3 linked regions of the Schizosaccharomyces pombe genome follow. Changing the gene in region 1 together with any one later gene gives a genetic interaction. Each region holds a gene or a part of one and is shown in the gene's direction. Other genes may lie near its edges.

Evidence for each region.
Region 2: of byr4 (region 1) and cdc16, extra expression of one rescues a mutant of the other (dosage rescue), as found in Schizosaccharomyces pombe (5 studies listed by BioGRID, with this or other methods).
Region 3: of byr4 (region 1) and mob1, a mutation in one rescues a mutant of the other (synthetic rescue), as found in Schizosaccharomyces pombe (2 studies listed by BioGRID).

What each region holds. Positions count from the first base shown.
Region 1 is NC_003424.3:959,799-968,002, reverse strand, and holds byr4 (two-component GAP Byr4), read left to right. Parts: upstream 1-3,194; 5' UTR 3,195-3,568; coding exon 3,569-5,566; 3' UTR 5,567-5,689; downstream 5,690-8,204. Other genes in the region: SPOM_SPAC222.17 (uncharacterized protein), read left to right, coding at 45-138; hem13 (coproporphyrinogen III oxidase), read right to left, coding at 635-1,573; poly(A)site selection protein Seb1, read right to left, coding at 5,890-7,395, 7,586-7,942. UniProt on the Schizosaccharomyces pombe protein: Has an essential role in ensuring cytokinesis and septation occur only once during mitosis. It does so by interacting with the ras1 signaling pathways, thereby suppressing them.
Region 2 is NC_003424.3:2,746,492-2,751,315, reverse strand, and holds cdc16 (two-component GAP Cdc16), read left to right. Parts: upstream 1-3,159; 5' UTR 3,160-3,306; coding exon 3,307-3,807; exon of another isoform or gene 3,808-3,884; coding exon 3,885-3,975; exon of another isoform or gene 3,976-4,049; coding exon 4,050-4,197; exon of another isoform or gene 4,198-4,384; coding exon 4,385-4,544; 3' UTR 4,545-4,649; downstream 4,650-4,824. Other genes in the region: arc2 (ARP2/3 actin-organizing complex subunit Arc34), read left to right, coding at 345-406, 447-1,338; NuA4 histone acetyltransferase complex subunit Eaf6, read right to left, coding at 1,769-2,152, 2,216-2,248; rps13 (40S ribosomal protein uS15), read left to right, coding at 4,676-4,824. UniProt on the Schizosaccharomyces pombe protein: Has a dual role in the cell cycle. In mitosis, it is involved in maintenance of cdc2 kinase activity. It is subsequently required for regulation of septum formation.
Region 3 is NC_003423.3:466,889-474,372, reverse strand, and holds mob1 (Sid2-Mob1 kinase complex regulatory subunit Mob1), read left to right. Parts: upstream 1-4,209; 5' UTR 4,210-4,247; coding exon 4,248-4,422; intron 4,423-4,479; coding exon 4,480-4,879; intron 4,880-4,927; coding exon 4,928-4,985; downstream 4,986-7,484. Other genes in the region: Rheb GTPase Rhb1, read left to right, coding at 1-255, 310-546; SPOM_SPBC428.15 (Obg-like ATPase), read right to left, coding at 934-2,163; mlg1 (1-acylglycerol-3-phosphate acyltransferase), read right to left, coding at 2,669-3,721; SPOM_SPBC428.12C (peptidyl-prolyl cis-trans isomerase E), read left to right, coding at 5,544-5,574, 5,764-5,859, 5,955-6,113, 6,175-6,239; homocysteine synthase Met17, read right to left, coding at 7,451-7,484. UniProt on the Schizosaccharomyces pombe protein: Has a role in promoting the onset of septum formation during the latter stages of mitosis.

The sequences.
Region 1 (8,204 bases):
ATTATCCTATATACACTTACTGTGAGTTTGATATTAACCAACAGGTTCATTTGCACTTTATCAGCAGATCCCAATCGGCCCACTGTATTTGAGTGTAAAAGGGAATTAGATACAAATGAAAGAAAAGAGCGACTGTAAAATTTGTACCGATGCTAACGTTTTATGACTTGTCTATCTCAATCCGTTGGGGATCGACGTCGTTTTATCATAAAGACAAGACACACACATTTTACCTTCATCTTCTTTTTTTTTATTCGTATTATTTTAAAGAAAAATACATTGAAATTAAGTTAATGAAAGTGCAGATCAGTTGAAATTTATATTGTGAAATTAGATCTCAAGCCAAATAGGTACTGTACTTTACTTTAAAACTCTTTATAAAACACTACTCAATAAAAGATACGGATTTTTAAAGGGTAAAATATTGTTTCATTAGCTTAGAAAAGGGATTCAAAATCGCAAATTCAAACAGTTAAGAATTCCAAATAATGAAGAGCAAAAAAGGCATGATAGAAAATTTAACATGAGTTAGTGTAACATGGCATAGTTTAAAAACAAACGAAAGAATAAAGCTATTACCAAAAATTGTGATGTTCATTAAATGCTGAAGTAAAAGTCATTTTTGTGAATCTTTCTAGCACCATTCAATAGGGGTATGCGTTACTTTAAGGAGAGCCTTGTGACGCTCTTGTTTAGGCTCATACTTGTAACGCCAGGAAGCATGTAATGGAAGGGTCATAAGAATAGATTCAACACGGGGTTCAGGAGCTTGAAGACCAAACCAAGTACCTCTGTCATACATAACGTTAAACTCGGCATAGTATCCACGACGAATGAGTTGGAATTCCTTATCATCTTCAGTGAATTCCATGTTCTTTCTCTTTTCCATAATAGGGACATAGGCAGGAAGGAAGGTATGGGCACAATCCTTGACGAAAGCAAATAACTCTTGAGGATCTTTCTCAGAAAGATCATCAAAGAAAATACCGCCAATGCCACGAGTCTCCTTTCTGTGCTTGATGAGGAAGTATTCATCAGCCCATTTCTTGAAGCGAGGATAGAAAGTGGGGTCATGGCGATCGCAAGCTTCTTTATGCAATTTGTGGAAATGCTTGCCATCTTCTTCAAAGAGAATGCTAGGAGTCAAATCGGCTCCACCACCAAACCACCAAATCTTCTTACCATCACTGTTTACAAGTTCAAAGTAACGATAGTTCAAGTGAGTAGTAGGGGCCATGGGGTTGCGAGGGTGAATAACCATACTGATACCAGCAGCAAAGAATGGAAGCTCTTTGGCAGTACGATCAATACCTTCATGATTAGCACGCATTCTTTGGACAGCGTCTTGATTCAATTTTCCTTGAACAATACTTGTGTTGACACCACCCTTTTCAAAAACGTTGCCATCTTGAATAACACAACTGATACCATAACCACCTTCTCCCTTGGTCCACTTGTCTTGGAAGAATTTTTGTCCATCGACAGCTTCGAGACCAGCAACAATTTCTTGCTGAACATCGAGAATAAGCTTCTCCATCTGCTTGCCAATAGGCTCAACGGTAATGTCAGACATCTTTTTATTTACTTTACGGATTTGCTCAAAATGTCCAAAAAAAAAAGTAACCAAAATGGTATTTAAGATATGATACAACCGATTGGATGAATTGGTATTAACACAAGTGAAGAATCAAAACACTGTTCAACTTGCGAATTAAATTTACAACTTGGTTGTTTTGTTTTCACAAAAACACTGTGCCAGCAGCGAATGGGATTAGGGGGATTTATATCAAAAAATAGACTAAATTCAGATATTTAAAAATCGAACGATTTCTGGACAGTCACGACCGTAATGGCTCGTTTTTCTCGTAAGGTTAAGAACACAATCCGGATTCCACGATCTGAGTGTTTCGTTACTGCACCTTGTAGTGCGATATATAGATTCCTTCGATGGAAAACAATTATTAGTTTTATATGAATTTGATTAGGATGATGTTAAACATCCTTTTCTTTGACTTATTATTAGACTATCTGAAAAATGGAGTTACTTCTCGTCTATGAGAAATGTTTGTAAGTTGCTTCGCTACTAGCAAGCAATAATGTTTTTAACTGCTTGGTTTACAGAAAAGCACAAGAGTATAAGACAGATGCCATGCTTACTTTTTCAACTTGTTCGATTTACCATTTCTTAAGTACAAACATTAATAAGATCATCAACCTATATTTTTTATGAACTTTACATGAATAATTACATGATTAAATCACTGAAATTATATGAAACTATAGACAGAATTGATGCTAAAAATAATTTAGGAAAAATATGAATAGCGCGATCGCATAGGGGTAAAAACATGATTATGTTTCATACTTGGATTTACTAATGAAGAACGGTTTCTCATACCTATGAATTGAAGAGTTAATTTGTTCAACTTTACCATTGTTGATTTCAATAACTTTTTAGATGTAAAAAAATAAACTAAAATAAAACAAAGACGTTTCTTTTGTTATAAACTAATAGATTTACTTTTTAACCTATAGTTTAATCGTTTTTTTTTTTTTTTTTTTTTGTAATTTATCTAAACTCGTATATGAAAATAGTATGTATTTTAGAAATTATACGAAGAATCTAATAAAAAAAGATTCCTTAAAATGTATTTCATATATACTTGAACGAATATGTAGATTCCATAAACAGAATTAAATTGTAAATGGGCATAAATTTCAGAGAAAGCAATTGTTTATAATAATTTAAACGTTCAAAGAAAAATATATATATTTTCGTGGAGGAAAATAAAATTCTAAGACGAATGAATTTGCTAATACGAGTGACGATTAAACATACTATTTATTGCTTCACCTACTAACCTTCGTTGTAATTTATCTACTTTTTAAAAAACATTAACTCGTAGTTGCATGCTAATTAGATTACCTAGATTTTTTTAAGGTGAGGTGCAGCTATGCATTTTGGCAATCACATATGGTTAAGTATTTTACTATGATTAATCTAGCAAAAATAAATATGACTGAAAGATACCAAAAAAAACTATTTTTTTTTTAGGTTTACACAAGCAAATAGTAGATGCTTTATTTTTCACCTTATTAAAAATTGATTTCTCGTAAAGTACTGAAACCAAAGTACGTAAATTGATCAAGTTGGTGTTTACACTTATACCTCTAGCTCAACCTCCGTCTCTTTCAACAATATACCGCTAACCCAGATTCCTTGATTTTGTCATTGAAATAAGTTAAATTCTTTTTTTTGCTTTCTATACAAAACAAAATTTCATTGTATCTCTGAAAGCATCATCATAATCATATTCCTGAAGTCCTTTTGAATTGCTGTTCATAACTTATTACTTCTCGAAGCTGGGTTTGAAAGCGTAAATATTTACAGTGGTTACTTCTTTGCAAAATTAGTGACCATCCTTTTTCTCTCTCACTTTCTTTTTCTTTGAAAATCAAATTTAGGGTTTTCAGTTTTGGGTGAATACGGTTAGTAATCATTCTATGCGTTTTGCATCCAATTTCTTTTCTTAGCAAAGCCGTTTTAGTATACGTTTATTTTGATTGAATGACTGAAGTTGAATGCTGGGACGATGATCCTGATTTTGCTTCCGACGTCGATAATGCTAGCCTATTTACTCAATCCATAGCTACCACTAGTGCTAGTACGAGTGTGGATGATGGGTTCTCGTTTGACGACTCTATTAGTCGTCTTAATAGCCTTTCAATTTCTGATGTACCAAGCGCTCATTCTCGTGTCGAACAATGGAATCAACAAGTACATAATTTAAACCATGAACTGTCTTCCAACAAGAACCGAATTTCTTCCAATGTAGAAGGCTATGAAGATGATTTTTCGTTCGATGAAGAAGGTGAAGAAGGTAATAATGAGTTTAATACACTTCGTCCCAATAAATACCAAGATGCCGATGTTGATGAATTCAATACTATTAGAGCATCTGAAACTGCTTCTCAAAGACCTCCAATTCCATTCTCTAGTGATACTCTTAAGAAAACATATCTTTCAAGTGAAAATGATGCTCGGTATCCCAGTGTTTCGGACTCCCCTTATTGTGAATCGGAAGGCTTTTCTTCATTTGAAGATGATTTTGAAATAGACCCAGATACCGACCTAAACAGTATTTTGCACAGAAAACAAAATAGGATGGATCCAAAAGCTTCCTTTTCCAGCGTAGAACAGTCTTCGCTTCGTACGCCTTCCTCTGCGCATAATGACGACGGCTTTTGGGATGATTTTGATATTGACTTTAATAACGAAACAGAATCGATCTTTCGGAAAAAGATTCGATCTCCAAATACCATCAACCAAAAGCATCCTTATATTTCCTCCACAATTTCTTATCAACCTAATGTGCATCAGGATGCAAAATATTATCCCCTTTGTAAAGACATATTTCCTTCACTCGCTAATGAAAACCCTCATTCTGATAACCCAAACCTAAAGTATTCTTCGAAAACACTTTCGAAAAGGGATACGTCTTCTCATTATCCAGAAACGTTGAAGGCTTCGAGTAAACATTCTTCTCCCGTGAAGGGAAATTCTTCTATAAGCTCCACATGGACTCCCTCGAATTTGAAGATCTATCATTCGAAAAATTCGATGGGTTTGATGGATTTGGACGCTTTGAAGACAGTTGCAAGTAATTCTAAATACAGAACAAAGCCTAAAAATTGCAAGACTTACGGAGATGGTACAGAACTTGATACTTTAGATGAATTACCAGTTGATTATGAATTTGAGCTTAAATTGAGAAAAAAGCAAACTACCAAAGTTTCCGGAACGCCTAAAAGTAAACACGCAGGTTCAACTCAAGAATGGCATTCACATACTACCCCTAGATCTACTTCGAAACATGAGAATAATTTAAATAATATAACTAATTCAGCAAAAAATGAGCATATTCGGTCTCAAAGGCAACACAAAACTCATGCCGCCCCTTCTAAAGAGTTAACAAAAGAATCGCTTTCCAATGATCAATTGAGCGTCAAAGAAAAACGCAGACACCATAAAAAGGCACCTACTTTAATACAAAATTTAAATTCCCCTAGAACCCCAAAAATTGTTGGAAAAATGCGATATAATCCCACAAAACATTGCTGGGAAGGAAACGATTATGCAATTAGAGATTTTGATACCCCTATCTCGCCTAGCCGTCCAGCATTAATTTCCAACATTTCTACAAAAAAAGGAATCCAGGTTGTCGGAAATATGGTATATGACCCTACAAGGTTACGATGGATTGATAATTCGATTTCTGGTCAAGAAGCGGAAGATCCCTTTAGCGGGTTTGATGATCTTGAGGATACAGACTCCACCTCGCAGTACTTGAACGAAAATTCAGGTAGCTTTAATGGTAGCATAAACTCAATAATCAATTTTCCAGATATGAGTGAAATATACGATGTCGGCCCAGAGTTTGAAAAAAAGCAATTTAGCGAAGATATTCAATGGCGAAAGAGAATTGATGGCTGGTTTTTTTCATTTAAAAACGATGACAGGTCACGACTATGGGAGCTTTATAATATACTTAATGCCGAACAATAAACAAGGTTTTGTCTTTACCTTGCGAATGTTTATATATAATTATACGAATGCTTTTGTTTATCGCAGATTTGATCTTTTTGTACATAGCTTAATACACTTCGAAGATTTTTCATTTTGTTTGCAAATAGATGTATAAGATGTACAACAATGATACAAATGTAATACTAATGTGACACCCAGACAAACTAGATTGTTTGAACAAGACAATACAAAGAAAATAATCAATTAAATTTGGACCGAATACATTATACCCTTAAATACCGTCTGTAATATAGAAACCATTTTTGCCATCATTATAATACTTGTAAGCGTCTTTTAACACATTATTGGGGTTGCCAAGGAGGTTGTGAGACATACCCAGAAGAGTAATTAGGATCCATATATGGATAGCCGGGATTATATGGGTTGGTAGGGGGAGGAACGGTACTAGGATTACCATGCCAGTCATTTCCTGAATCAAAATGCCTTTCACCATGGTGAATGGGTGGACCTCCCCTATATGGTTTACGACCCCGGAATCGCTCATCACGACGCATAGCAAAATCTTTTCCTCTTTTACTAATTGCCTTAGAACTTATTCCTAATCCAATTTCAATATCAGGTTCATCCAAAGCGATACCAGGAGTAATCGGAAGGCCACCCGTGCCGCCATATTCTGCAGTTACAAGCCAGGTACGATCGGCATCCGTCAACAAACGGATTGGGATAACGCTGATTCCTGTGGAAAAGTCAGAGCACTCTCGAGGTCCAAATCCTACACCCCATTTAGTACGAATAGTAGTATCAGCAAAAGGGACATTTTCCATCGCTACTTGAGCTTTCTCTGCAGCATCACGACGAAACATTTTCAAGAACCCGTGTCTGTAATTATGATTTAAAATTAAACTTTGTACAGACCCAAATCGTTCAAACATAGATCGAAGAACAGGTTCTCGCACAGAACGAGTAATACCACCAAGGAAAAGAGTACGGCTGTATACCTTAATAGAATCAGGTGGAATGGTTGGGTCACGCTCAAATCGGCGAGGAAATCCATCAGGGGTAGGTTTTGGCACACCATCTGCAGGAGGCAAAGTAGAAGGAATGGATAAATGAGAAGGACTAGGGCTACGACGAGGGCGACCACTACGAGGACTAGGGCTACGAGAACGATGTAAGGAGCCGAGTCTTAAGGATTGGGAAGAGGTAGGAGCTGGCAAAGGAACACTGCCGACACCAGCCGGCTGGAATGGAGCGTTATAGTTGGGAAAAGCAGCTTTCATGATGCTATCGATTTGTGCAGGTGGTACATTCTGAGAAGCCAATACATTCATGAGAGTGATCTGTTGACTCTGGGTATCATTGACCGATCCTGTCTTCATCCCCATGGGACCAGAGGGAATAGACTGTGGTACATTTGAAGGTTGGAATAGAGGGTTTGATAATGGATTGCCTGACTGAGACTGTGCATTAATGGCGGTAGCTGGATGAACAGGTAGGTTAGGGACGACAGCAGAAACGGATGGTGCGACGGCAGGCTGCGGTGGAGTGCTAACTGATTCTTCGGCAGCACTAGGGACGGGCGCCTTTTGAGCGAAAGCAGCCAATGCCTCTAGAATAGAAGCAGCATCGTTTTCGACAGGACGAGAAGTGGGGGCGGCTGCTTGACTACCAACAGAACCACCATTCCCCTCGGGATTAGTAGACTGTGATGGAGCAGCAGCAGAATCTACACTAACCGGTTCCGTACTTGCCATTGCATCTTTCAGCTTTGAACGAAGCGATTCTAGCTTCTCGGGAGGAAATGTTGAAGCCTTCTCCCAAATATCACAAAGCTTTAATATTTTAGGCTACATGCTTAGTTAGTTACAAATTAGTCCAATAATGTTAAAAGACTTCTCAAAGAGAATGATACTGTATTACAAGGAAAAAATACCTCTCTCATACAGTGTCTCGCTGATACAGAAGCAGAGAGAGCATACGATTATCCATACGGGATCTTATCCGTAGTCAACCTTGAAAAACTTCAGCTACACATACCAAATGAGCAGATGGCGCATGCTGTATAGCATCTGCGACCAAACTATCAGTTATTTCAGCAGCTTTGCACCAGCCGCCACTAAAAGACGCATCAACGGGATTTTCAAAAGATTCATTATTCTTTTTAGCACCGTCCTGAAAGCTACGAACGATTGAGTCTAGAATATACAAAGCTCCTAATTTATGGGTGACGGGAGCACGCTTCGCATACTTATACACACTAGCAACAAATTGCGCATTCTCTGAAACATTTTCCATCGACAAGTTAGTCAATTTCAAAATTTTTGATCCCGAGATTCCTGTCTTGGAATGTTCAAGGGAATCTAAAATACCATCGAATTCAGCGATTCCCGACATATCACAAGAAAAACGACAATGAAAAAAAAAAAAAACTTTTCAAAACTAGAAAACTACCCTGTTTCCTTTATAAGAATTTTACTACTTTTTTTCTTATATTAGTTTTTTACACGTGCTTGAAAGACGTTAAAAAAGGAAGTCACCCTGTTCTTAAATACTTTTTGTGTTATGGTTACGGTTAAGTGGTGAAGTAGGTGATGCTGGTTATAAAGCTGGTATTACGGAAGGGTAAGGAAAGTGCTTAAAGAGATGCTAAAAATTT
Region 2 (4,824 bases), 1.8 Mb from region 1:
TATTGGTACACTTCGAATTAGATAAAGTAATTAGATTCAGAACTCCTAATATACTGATTAATTTTTTTTTTTTTTTTTTAATTTCTAACATTTTAGATAAAATATTCAGTATATCCATAGACGGTAAAATAGTAGAAGTTTACCTAAGAAGCAAAAGGTAATCTAGAACAAAGAATGAGAACAAAAAGATTGTTAGTTCTTTAAAAATATATATTGAGTTCATGGTTTTAATATGATCTGTTGTTTTCTTACATGTTTGCAGATGCCTCAGTATAAGGATTTATAACACTATATGAACCTGAGTAATAAGAATTCCCGGGTCCGTCACACGTTAACCATCAACCATGCTCTCATTAGATTATAACAATATATTCATTTACGAGTTACTGACAGAAAGGTTTTCAAGGTATGTGAAACAAACAATAAAGAATTTCACTAATTTATAGCGAAAACCCGTCGTCGATTGATCAAGTGGTAACTGATTTTGATGGCGTCACGTTCCACATTTCAACTCCTGAGGAAAAGACGAAAATCTTGATCAGTCTGTCTATGAAATGCTATCCTGAGCTTGTTAATTACGGTACTCTGGATTTACTGAAACAGATTTACGGTGCTTATGTGCATGAACCTGAAATGGGATACAACTTCAGTATTCTTATAGACTTACAACAACTTCCCGCTACCGATGAGGAAAAAGAACAATTAGCTATGTCTATTTCTATGTTAAAAAGAAACGTTTTAGCTGCTCCCTTCCACCGTGCATTCACCAAACAAGCCGAACTAGCTGATTTGGCTCGTAAAGACCCGGAAAATGCCCCTATGCTTGACAAGCAAGCCACTTCTCAGGAGCTCATGGCAATTCATTATCGTGATGAAGAAACTATTGTTTTATGGCCTGAGCATGATCGCGTTACAGTCGTCTTTTCAACGAAATTCCGTGAAGAGACTGATCGCATCTTTGGCAAGGTATTCTTGCAGGAATTCGTTGATGCCCGTCGCCGTCCGGCTATTCAAACCGCTCCTCAAGTGCTCTTTTCCTATAGAGATCCACCTTTGGAGATTCGTGATATTCAGGGTATTCAAAAGGGTGATGACTTTGGATTTGTAACATTCGTTTTATTTGAGCGTCATTTTACACCTCAAAATCGTGAAGATTGCATATCTCATATCCAGGTTTTCCGCAACACCCTACACTTTCACATTAAGGCTTCCAAGGCTTACATGCACCAACGTATGCGTAAGCGTGTTGCTGACTTCCAAAAGGTTTTGAACCGGGCCAAGCCCGATGTGGAATTGGAGAGAAAGACAGCTACTGGTAGGTCATTTGTTCGTGCTTAATGTTCCGTCCCATGTTGATCCTTTCTTTCATCGTATCTTCATACGTAGTTATGATCTTTATATATGCTTCATGCTTCCCTCTCCTCGTAACAAACGTGAATTGTTTCTCACCCTTTTTTTCTATTCAAAGCTGGGTTGATTAAATGATGCTAGCGCAAAATACAGGAATATCAATCTTTGATTGTAGATACACACGTTACATAAGAGATGCTTATTTTTTGAAAATGAAAATTGTATTATACAAGTCATAAATAGTAACTGTTCTAAAGGACAAACTTTGAATAGCTAGTTAAGCCGTAATTTTGTAGCGCTATTGCAAAATACTTAGAAGAAGGAGAAAATAATCGCAAATTGATTTGTAAAAGCTCCGAAAAAGGAACTTCCTCATAAAATTTAAAGTATATTCTTTATATCCGTTTTCTGAGTAACATTATAGTTCTCGAAAAGAAGAACGTCTTCTTCCTTCGTGACTATCAGATTCATTTTTTCGTTTTCTTCTTCGACTAGTTTCTGTCGAGTCGTCGAGGTCATAAGCTGGACTACGTGTATGGGGACTCGACAGGGAAGAAAGAGAAAACAGTCTGTCTGATTCCGAATAGTCTGCACGACGGCGGAGGTTTGATGCATTGTTTTTTAAAAGACCTTCGAATCCACGAATAATGTTGCCAGTACCCGATGTTTTTTCTAAGTAACTGCCTTCCAGCCTATAGATAGAGTCCTCGAGACCTATTAACGAAGTTTCCAACAATTGTCGCTTTTCAATCATTTCATGAAGCTCCTTTTTGCACTGTTCATAATAGGAAACATTCACGGGCTGTTAAGTTTTAGAATTATTAGTAAACAAAATAAATAAATATTATCTTTTAATGCAACGTACTGGCTCGCTAGGCGTCGAATTGGGAGTCGACATTTTCACTTTTAATTTAGAGAATGTACAAATTTGATGAACAAAATAAAAAATGATCGGCTTGAAGCAATCAAAAACTTTTATTATTTGTAAATAATGTAGCACTGTTATAGTAACTTTCTAATGGCTCGCAAACCATAAGCAGTCAGTTGCGCGACGATCTAGTATTGTTGGTAGTAGTGACCAAGTATCAATCGATGAACCAACGAATTCCGAGATCTTAAGAGTTAACAAGACACATAATAGTTTAAATATATTTTATTGTTAAAGTAAATTTATATTTCTTTTTACTGACTACGGTCATTATGCAAGGCTAAAAACAGAATAGGCTTAATAACTATTGAGCAAATCTGAATTTTGCATTAATCGGTTCAGAAGTGTTTTTTATTACATGCAGTATCGAAATTCTATATAAATATGATAACGGATATCACGACGTTTAATCGAACATTTACAAAGTACAATGATGCTTCCTCAAGGACGATTAGAGAGATACTTAGTATTATGTATTTTTTTAAAAAAAAAAGATAATATAATCAAAGAGCTCGTCTCAATTGACAGGCATTCTGTTTACTGGTTAGATGTTCAGCACTGTAATAACAATCTTTCTAATTTTTTTCTTCTCAAGATAGCTACAGTTTTTATTTTATAATACTAATTGAAAACCGAAAATAATAAAAATCTTTGCTGGTGGAAATCTTCTGGCACTGTAAGGACTAAGACAACTAACTCTCTAATTGCTGGCATAAATATGTAGAATTTTGAAAGTCAAACTGTAATGTTCTATATTAAAACAAGATTAATAAAAATTTCGAAAGCTATTTCTAAATGAGTCAGCTTTGTAAATTATTAAAGCCATCAACCTATTGAAAGGCCAATAGTGTACTATACCTACTTACAGTTGTATCTTCGTTGTAAACCAACCTTCACTGTTTCCTCATTATCCTCTTATTTTCCATTCAATTGCATTTTATTAATTCATTTTTGCTTATATTTATGTTTTGAATTCATACTGGTCCTCATTTTAGTTTTCTTCAAATTGTATAGGCTGGTTTCTAAGGATGCCGAGTATTGACTGCAAGCGACTTCAAAAGTTAGCGCCCAAATCACCAGAAAACCAATCGAAATGTATCTCTAGGCTTCGTTACATGGTCATGCTTGATCAAGTTGAGTCGGATGAAGGTGGGAATTCAAGCACCAGGCCATATGTTTGGGCAGTTCTTTTGAATGCCCCCCCACGGAACGCTGACGAATACATACGATATGTTCGCCAAGGACCGTCTCCTATGGCACAAAAGATTCAAAATGATGTTTCAAGAACCCTGGTCGTAGAATCTCAGTTTCATTCTCGTGTGTCTCAATCGTCTCTTTCACGTTTATTAAATGCTTATGTCTGGAAACGAGGTGCTTTATATGTTCAAGGTATGAATGTGTTAGCATCACCTTTTTTGTATGCTTGTAAAAGCGAAAACCAAGCTTTTCAGTTCTTTGACCGTCTGCTACAAAATGAATGCCCTCTATATGTCCTCCCAAACATTGATGGTGTTCATCGCGGCGCAAAGGTAAGTAACTGTTTATTTATTGTTTTAATGCTCCTATTTATTAATCTATTATTGTCAATTTACTAACTCAATTACAGTTATTGGATAAATGCCTTGAAGTCCTTGACCATCGTTTGTACACGTATCTTTTATCCAAAGGGCTTACCGCAAAAATTTACGCTTTACCATGTAAGTGAATAGCGAATTTATTTGTCGTTTTGTGAAAAGAATTAATAGGTATTAACTTTACTTTTCACATATAGCTATACTTACTTTGAGTGCTTGTACTGCCCCATTATCCGAAGCTCTTACCATATGGGATTTTTTGTTTGCTTATGGAATACACCTTAATATCCTATGTGTGATTGCACAAATGTTTATTTTCCGAGAGCAGCTCATCGATCATCCAAGGTAAGTATTTTCTCATCACCCTTTCATTATAATGAAGGATTTACAAAAGAGGAGAAAATTATGGAACAATTTTTTTTTTTTTTTTTTTTTTAAACTTTACTTTCATTTGGGTTCATCATATGTCTCTTCTTTCTCATCCTTTCTCAAATTAAAAAAAATAAATAAATAACGCATGCTAACGATAAAGCCCCATGACCCTATTACGAACGTTTCCTCCTTTAAATGCAAAAAATATAATGAAAATTACCATTCTCCTTATTTCGAAATTACCGCCAGAACTGTATAACTTGTTAGCTCGCCATGCGTGGGATTCTGAAGCTGGTGTTCTGATTGACCGACTAACATAATACTAGGGTAGGGTTTTAATAACAACGAGCAGTCACGCTTTCTATGTGTTTGAAACACAACCTAGAATTTTATTTCTTCAGCACACACCTCTCACTCAAAGTTGCACCTTAACCAAACAAATTAAATCAAAATGGGTCGTATGCATAGCAAAGGAAAGGGTATCGCTTCTTCCGCTTTACCCTACGTTCGCTCTCCCCCTGCTTGGTGCAAGGCTGATGCCGACTCCGTTGTCGAGCAAATTCTTAAGTTCTCCAAGAAGGGTATGTCCCCTTCTCAAAT
Region 3 (7,484 bases), on another chromosome or scaffold:
ACGGTGCAATATGTTGAAAACCATTTCGTTGAATCGTATTATCCAACTATTGAAAATACATTCAGCAAGAACATCAAGTATAAGGGTCAAGAATTTGCTACTGAAATTATCGATACGGCTGGTCAAGATGAATACAGTATCTTAAATTCTAAGCATTCCATTGGAATCCATGGCTATGTACTCGTTTACAGCATTACTAGCAAATCTTCTTTTGAGATGGTTAAAATAGTTCGTGACAAGATATTGAATCACACTGTATGTCAAATTATTAGAATTTTTAAATTTTTTACTAACCTACTTGCTATTAAGGGTACTGAGTGGGTCCCCATTGTGGTTGTTGGCAATAAGAGCGACTTGCATATGCAGCGTGCTGTTACCGCTGAAGAGGGAAAAGCATTGGCCAATGAATGGAAATGTGCATGGACAGAAGCTTCAGCTCGCCATAACGAAAATGTTGCTCGAGCATTCGAGCTAATTATCAGCGAAATTGAAAAACAAGCAAATCCTTCCCCTCCTGGTGATGGAAAGGGTTGTGTTATCGCCTAAGCTTCTGCTTGAATTTATCATATTATGGATTAATTTATTTTAACTGAATTAACGATTTTATCTTTGCTAATGCAAGATATGGGCTTACATTACATGAGGTGATACTTTGCACACAAACGTGTTTTTTTACACATGGGTTTACAAGATTTCGACTCTTTATTTCAAATATACAAGTACCTAAACTATGGTTTTAAAATTTAGTCAATGTAATACATAGTGGAGAAAGTACAGCCAGACATTGTAGACGTAATTTGTTGAGTTAGCTCTTCGGAAGTTTTAAACTAACCAAATTAATTTTTAGACATAGTATTGTTTATTAACATCTATACAAAACTATTTTGAATATTTCCCAAAATCGACCTTTTACCACTTTTCTTCATGAATCACTTAAGCTTCAGCTTTCCGCAATCGAAAGTGAAGGATATCCGTTTTACCTGGGACAATAACATCAGATTCGCCGACGTTTCCATTTACACCCACAATAGACATTGCTTCTCCACCCAATACCATTTGAGATACCTGTCCAGCAGTCGTTCCTTGCTTCACTAAGATGCAATCTCTGAAAACACCTTCATTAGGAGAGTTTGCAAAATTGTGAACGTTTTTAACGGGAAAAACTGGAATCAAATTTAAAAGTTCCATTGCCTTTGCTAAAACATTACAAACTCCAGTTGAACCGTGTCGAAATAATACCATGTCTTGGAGGTCTGCGATACGGGTTTTAAGATTTTCGCTCAAAGGTTTCAAGCCAGAGTCAGGAAAATCGTCTAGCGTATCAACAAATTCAGAGCCCTCCTCGTACTTAACAAACCCCTGTTTTGCCAATCTTCGAAGAAAAACTTCGGATATGGCTGAAGCCAGTACGAGTCGATTTGGATCTTCTTTTCTAGCTATTTTAGATATATTTGCATCCGCATCAGGATGATCAATTTTGTTAAGAGCAATAACGGTAGGAAACTTGATATCAACGAATCTGTTAACCACTTTTTCAATTGTATCATCATCCCATTTCTCCAAAGGTGTATCTAAATGTAGCGAATCTAAGACTTTAGCTGTAACAGCAGGGGTACTTCCATATCCAGAAAACTGGGATTGTAGTGTATTGACAGGATTGGCTTTCGTAGCAATATGCCTACGAACTATATTAGGCCATTTCTCTCTCAGATTGTTTCCGATCCATGCAGTTATTTCCTTATACAACCAAGCGATATCTACAGAAGGATCATATCCACGACACACTTTTCCTTCCGCATCAGTAGTACCTGAGACATCTACCACATGGACCAAAGCATCGGCATGCCGTAAATCGTCTAAAAATTTATTGCCAAGCCCCTTTCCAGCATGCGCACCTGGAATAAGACCAGCTACATCAAGCAGCTGAATAGGAATTGAACGTACACCATTTTTGCAACCACCATAAATTGGTTTACATTTGTCCTGTAGTCCAAATCTTGAGCACGCGCATTCTATTTGAGCATAGCCAATAGCCCGGTTTGGCTCAATAGTGGTAAAAGGGAAATTACCAGTTTTAGCAGTGGCATCTGTCAACGCATTCAGCATCGTAGATTTACCACTGGAGGGCTTGCCAACAAATCCAATTAAAATGTCTCTACCCATTATTTGGAAACCTTAGAAGAAGTATGTGAGAAAAATTGGTACTGAAATCCAGGACCTACTCGTACTCTGCAATCTGAGAATTAGAGTAGTGGTAAGGGTCGAGTGTTTCGTAATACCTGCTTTTAGGACTAAAGATTTAAAGGATTGTTTGCTTGCACATTTATAATATTTTTTTTTTAGCATAATTTATTTTATTGTTATTATGTTATCTTCGACATAGTTTGAAACAGTAGATTGTAGGCCGTCTACAGGCAAAGAGGATGGTTGTAAGGAGAAAAAGTGTACAGAATAATTTATCTCGAAATCTCAAAGCTCAAGAGAAAGCTAATGACTATAAAACTATCGTCCGCAATGTATGCGGTAATTCCTTAACACTGAAAATCCAGTTTGCAATCTGTTAAAAAATGTTCATGAAAATCAGTTAATCTATGTAGTGTAAATGGGTAACTTTTCAACCATATGGTTTAGGGAAATGGAAAGAAATGGGTATAAATAACAGTTTTTTCTAGTGAGAAATGAATAGTTTGAGGAACAACCCAGCAACAATGCACGTGAAAAGTACGGAAAACAAAGAAAGAATTTCAAGTCTGTGCTTCAATCGAACAGTCGTATGCAATTTCTTAGGGCCCGGAAAATTCCCTGTTTCAAGAAGCGTATCGATAAGTTTATCTTTCTCATACCATCTTTGATAAAGCCAATCCGTAAACTGATCTTCTTCAGTGGGAATTTCCGAAATTGGGAAGCGACGAACGTGAATATGAAGCCTTTTGATGGGGACTCCTTCAAAAAAGAGCTTAGGTAAAGAGAAAGCATCGGCGGCATATTTCTTAGGAGAGGGATCAGAAAAATAAAATGTGTAATCGTACAAATAAGTCATCGAATCACGAAGCTGACTGATACTATAAAAGAGCCCTCGCACACGTGGGAGCATTAAATGCTTTGGCATTTTGACTCCAATTTTATCGGCATACACCCTGCTCCTTTGATATGTGCTTTCAACCAAGTTGGTTCCTTCTGGGAAGAGAATGAGACTGACGGAATCACGTACATTGCGAATGAACTTGAAATGACGAGACATAGTCTCGTAGTCTTTGTCCCATTTGCGAGAAAGGAAAATGAATCTAAACAATTGCATACCCCAACCTATAACTGGCAACCATTTGAGAGAGTTTTTTAACATAATATAAACATGACCATGCTGTTTAGCAGTGTACGATAACCACCAAACGTACATCCAGTCCGAGTAAAGTTGATGGTTTGCGATAACTATGTTGCGTTCAGCAGCAATTGTTTCCAAGCAACCATTTCTATCCAAATAAAACAAATTTCGAAGCTCGGGATCATAGGTGAGAGTTACAGGAGTCGGACTAAAAAGCTGGACCAAAGCGGTAAACAGAATACCGGCGAATGATTTTGTAAAAGCAATATATTTGTTATAAAGCTCCTTGTTGACAAAATACAGAGGAGTTCCAATAACTTCCGAGGTATAAATGGTAACTGAACCAACAGCCAAACATAATATGAATGAATACTTGCGAATCGCAATTCTGCATGTCATGTTGTCAAACCTAAATGAATTAAAGGAACCTAAATCAAATCTCAAGAAATAAAAGACTGTTAAATAGAATCCAGAGAAAGTTAGCAAAGTCGGTTTTAGTGATGCCCTTTCGCGTTTCTCACCGCACAGTAAAAGTCGTACACGAACACTAAATAGACACCAATTTGAGCAAAAAAAATCCCAAAAAGAAAATTAAAAGCTCTCTGCTTTCTTTTTAATTTCTTAGCCGCACGTTTAGCACCAAAGTGTAATTCAGGGAATGTCAGTGGTTATAGGCAGTGGGTAAAGAAGTAGCGATCGTACGTTGTCAATTTGTAAAAGTGCTCGGACCTAAACATACGGTCGTATGAATATGATAGGTATTCCAGTAATTAATTTGCGCTTAATATTGGTTGGCTGGATGGTCTTGAAAGTTGAACGGTAGAATGACCACGTTTGTTTACGAGGAAGGGACGATGAGTGGAAGGTTGGCACAAACCAAGCCTACCAGAACCCAACTCATACCAACTTTTTTGCATTTTCTTTCATGTTTGGATTTAGTAATAAGACAGCGAAGACATTCCGTGTAAGGAAGACTGAAGCGGGAACGAAGCATTATCAACTACGGCAATATGCTGAAGCAACGCTGGGATCTGGCTCTTTGATGGAAGCAGTAAAACTGCCCAAGGGAGAAGATTTGAATGAATGGATTGCTATGAACAGTAAGCTAAGATATAAAATTGACACTTCAAGAACTTTTATTAATTGAATACTTCTAGCAATGGATTTTTATACACAAATTAATATGTTGTATGGTACAATCACTGAATTTTGTACGGCGGCTTCCTGTCCTCAAATGAATGCTGGACCAAGTTATGAATATTACTGGCAGGATGATAAAATATACACCAAACCCACTCGCATGAGTGCTCCCGACTATATTAACAATCTGTTGGATTGGACTCAAGAAAAGTTGGATGACAAGAAGCTCTTCCCCACTGAGATTGGTGTTGAATTCCCAAAGAATTTTCGCAAAGTGATTCAGCAAATATTTCGAAGGTTGTTTCGCATTTATGCTCATATTTACTGTTCCCACTTTCACGTAATGGTAGCAATGGAGCTTGAAAGCTATCTGAATACATCATTTAAACACTTTGTATTTTTCTGTAGGGAATTTGGGTATGTGTTTCAATTTACTTACTTAAAGATGTTAACAACAAATTTCAGCCTTATGGATAACAAGGAATATGCACCAATGCAAGACTTGGTAGATAGCATGGTTTAAGAACAGTTTTGTAGTTATTCAGGAACAGGAAATGGGAGGTAAACTCGGTTCCCAAACTTACCAATTTAATGTTTTATTTTATCCCTACCATTACCATTTTATCCAGACCTTAGCACAATTTTTTATGGAAAATTTCTTCTTTTCATTTCAATCATTCACTTGAGTGATTACCATAAAGAATAGTTGCTAAAATTACTCTTTCTACTCCTCCACTTTTTTCTTATGACACTGCATTCTTTTAACTACTTTTGAAAAGTGTGGCATATCGCCTTTGCATAGGCTACTTGTGCAAAATATTCTCGCATTCTCTAAAGTGTCTATCTTCATACAATTCATTTTATTTATAACATTTCATGTATCATATGTCTCTGGAATCTTTATTTCAGGTTTCTGTTAAATACCGAAAAAGACTGCATCGTTATTTGAGAAACTACTTACTGAATGGTGGTGGATGTGAGATAGTAAATGTGCGAAATAATCTGAACTTTTTAATTCCCTATTATTTTAGTCTTTTTGCTTTTCATCTTATTTTTTTTTTTTAGTTTTGATGATCTGAGGATGGAAAGAAGGAAAGCAACCGTCCATGTGGGTAAGGATCAATGAATTCATCGTTGTTATGATATATCTATGAGTTTCATGATACCGCTTCCTCATATGGCCATTTATCTACGATAAATGTTTGAGGTTATGATTTAACTTGTTGAATATTATATGACGGCGATACTTCGTTTTAAAAGATTGTTGTTTTCAAAGATCTGTTTGCTAACTTTCTTTTTAGGTAACTTGGCTCCATCTGTAACAGAATCTCTTTTATACAATGCTTTCATTCCGTTTGGAGAGATTATCTCAGTTGCATTACATCGTAAAGAAAAAGGTAAAGTAGTCATGTATTGGTGTCATGTTGGTAAACAACTAGTTTTGATGCCATGAAAATGCTCAAACATTTTAAAAGTTTAGCTAACTTTCTAGCTGTGGACCGTTCCTACGCGTTTGTAGAATTTGATGAACCAGAAGACGCTAAAGAAGCTATGGAAAATATGAACTATTCTATTCTCTGTGATCGTTGTATCAGAGTATCGCCTGCAAATTTTGCGTTATCAGCTGAAGAGACAGCAGTTCCAGATATAGGTAAGAAAAATAGCTGCTGAAGAGGCTTTCAATTTTTTATGCTCTTTACTAATTTACGTAGCAATGTTGCATCCTGAGTCAGCGGATTTTCAAACTTTCAAATCGACTTCTACTCCTACCTCTTAATTTTGTAAGATATTGTTTTCTTTGTAATTGCCTCACCTTATAATAAAGCAAAATTGGGCATGCGAGTGACTATAGGTGAATTGTCTCCTTTTAAGTACTATATTTTTAAAGAGAATACCTCATCCTCCCTCCTTTTTTATCATTTTTATTCTTTACATTTCGAACCGACACCCATTCATCTTTTGTTAATGGAATTGCTATGCATTTAAGCCTTTTTGGAAAGCAAGGCTTGGTATTTACGATTGACGCTTCAACATTACTTTAGCATTGATTTCTTTATTATCCAAGAATTCATAGTTATTGAATGAATATACATACCTATACATATATCAGTTTTGCAAATCTTCCCCTTTGCGCTTTAAAACTCTCATACTCAAAATATCATTTCATAGTGCACTAAGGGAATTTAAGCCCGTATATTCCGTAACGTTATGTTAAAGTAATAGGGTAGGGTTTTGTGACCTGTTGTGACTGCTCAATTTTACTATAAATGGATGTACAAGAGTTTACCATTCCCCATCTTTGTGCACGGGTATTACGCTTATCAGTGAGGAACTTTTCCTAGATGGCGTTATTGCTAGTTGAAAACTATTACCCTGACCGCTCCAACTCTCGTTAAGAGTTTTGGGAATATTTGGAAACCAACTTATTGCAATAACTCATATGTTTACAATGTATGTCTTTAGCAATTTGGTGGTTTTTTATTTTTTGTAAAATTAATTTTATATGATTTTGTGTATTTTTTATTAATGAAAGCACCAGTGAATTTCTGCTAATAGTAATAATGTGCTTACCGAAATAAGGAGCTAAAAGCATTCAGTAATCTTTTGCTAGGCAGAGATCAAGATAACGTAAATTTTGTTATATAATATGTTACGCTTTCCTTGTTTTATAGACCTGTTAGCCATTAGTAGTGCACAAGTGTTATAAATAGTCATTGTTTATTACTTGTGAATCTGAATCTAAATTACCAAGAGATCAAACCGAAAAATGATTTATTTCATAGCGTAAACTGAAGTGTGAAATGTAAAGTCGGGTATGATAAATATATCTAGCTTTCTGTTGAAGAGAACACATTAAAAGTATTATAATGGATAAAAGAGAGAAATATTTTGAGCAGATGTGGGAAAACATACAAAAACTCAATCGATATTTGTGAAACATTACTATGTATTTTACAGGTAAATAAAAAGATATACAATGAGGGCTTTTTAGGCAACTTCCAAAGCTTGAGCAAAGTCGGCG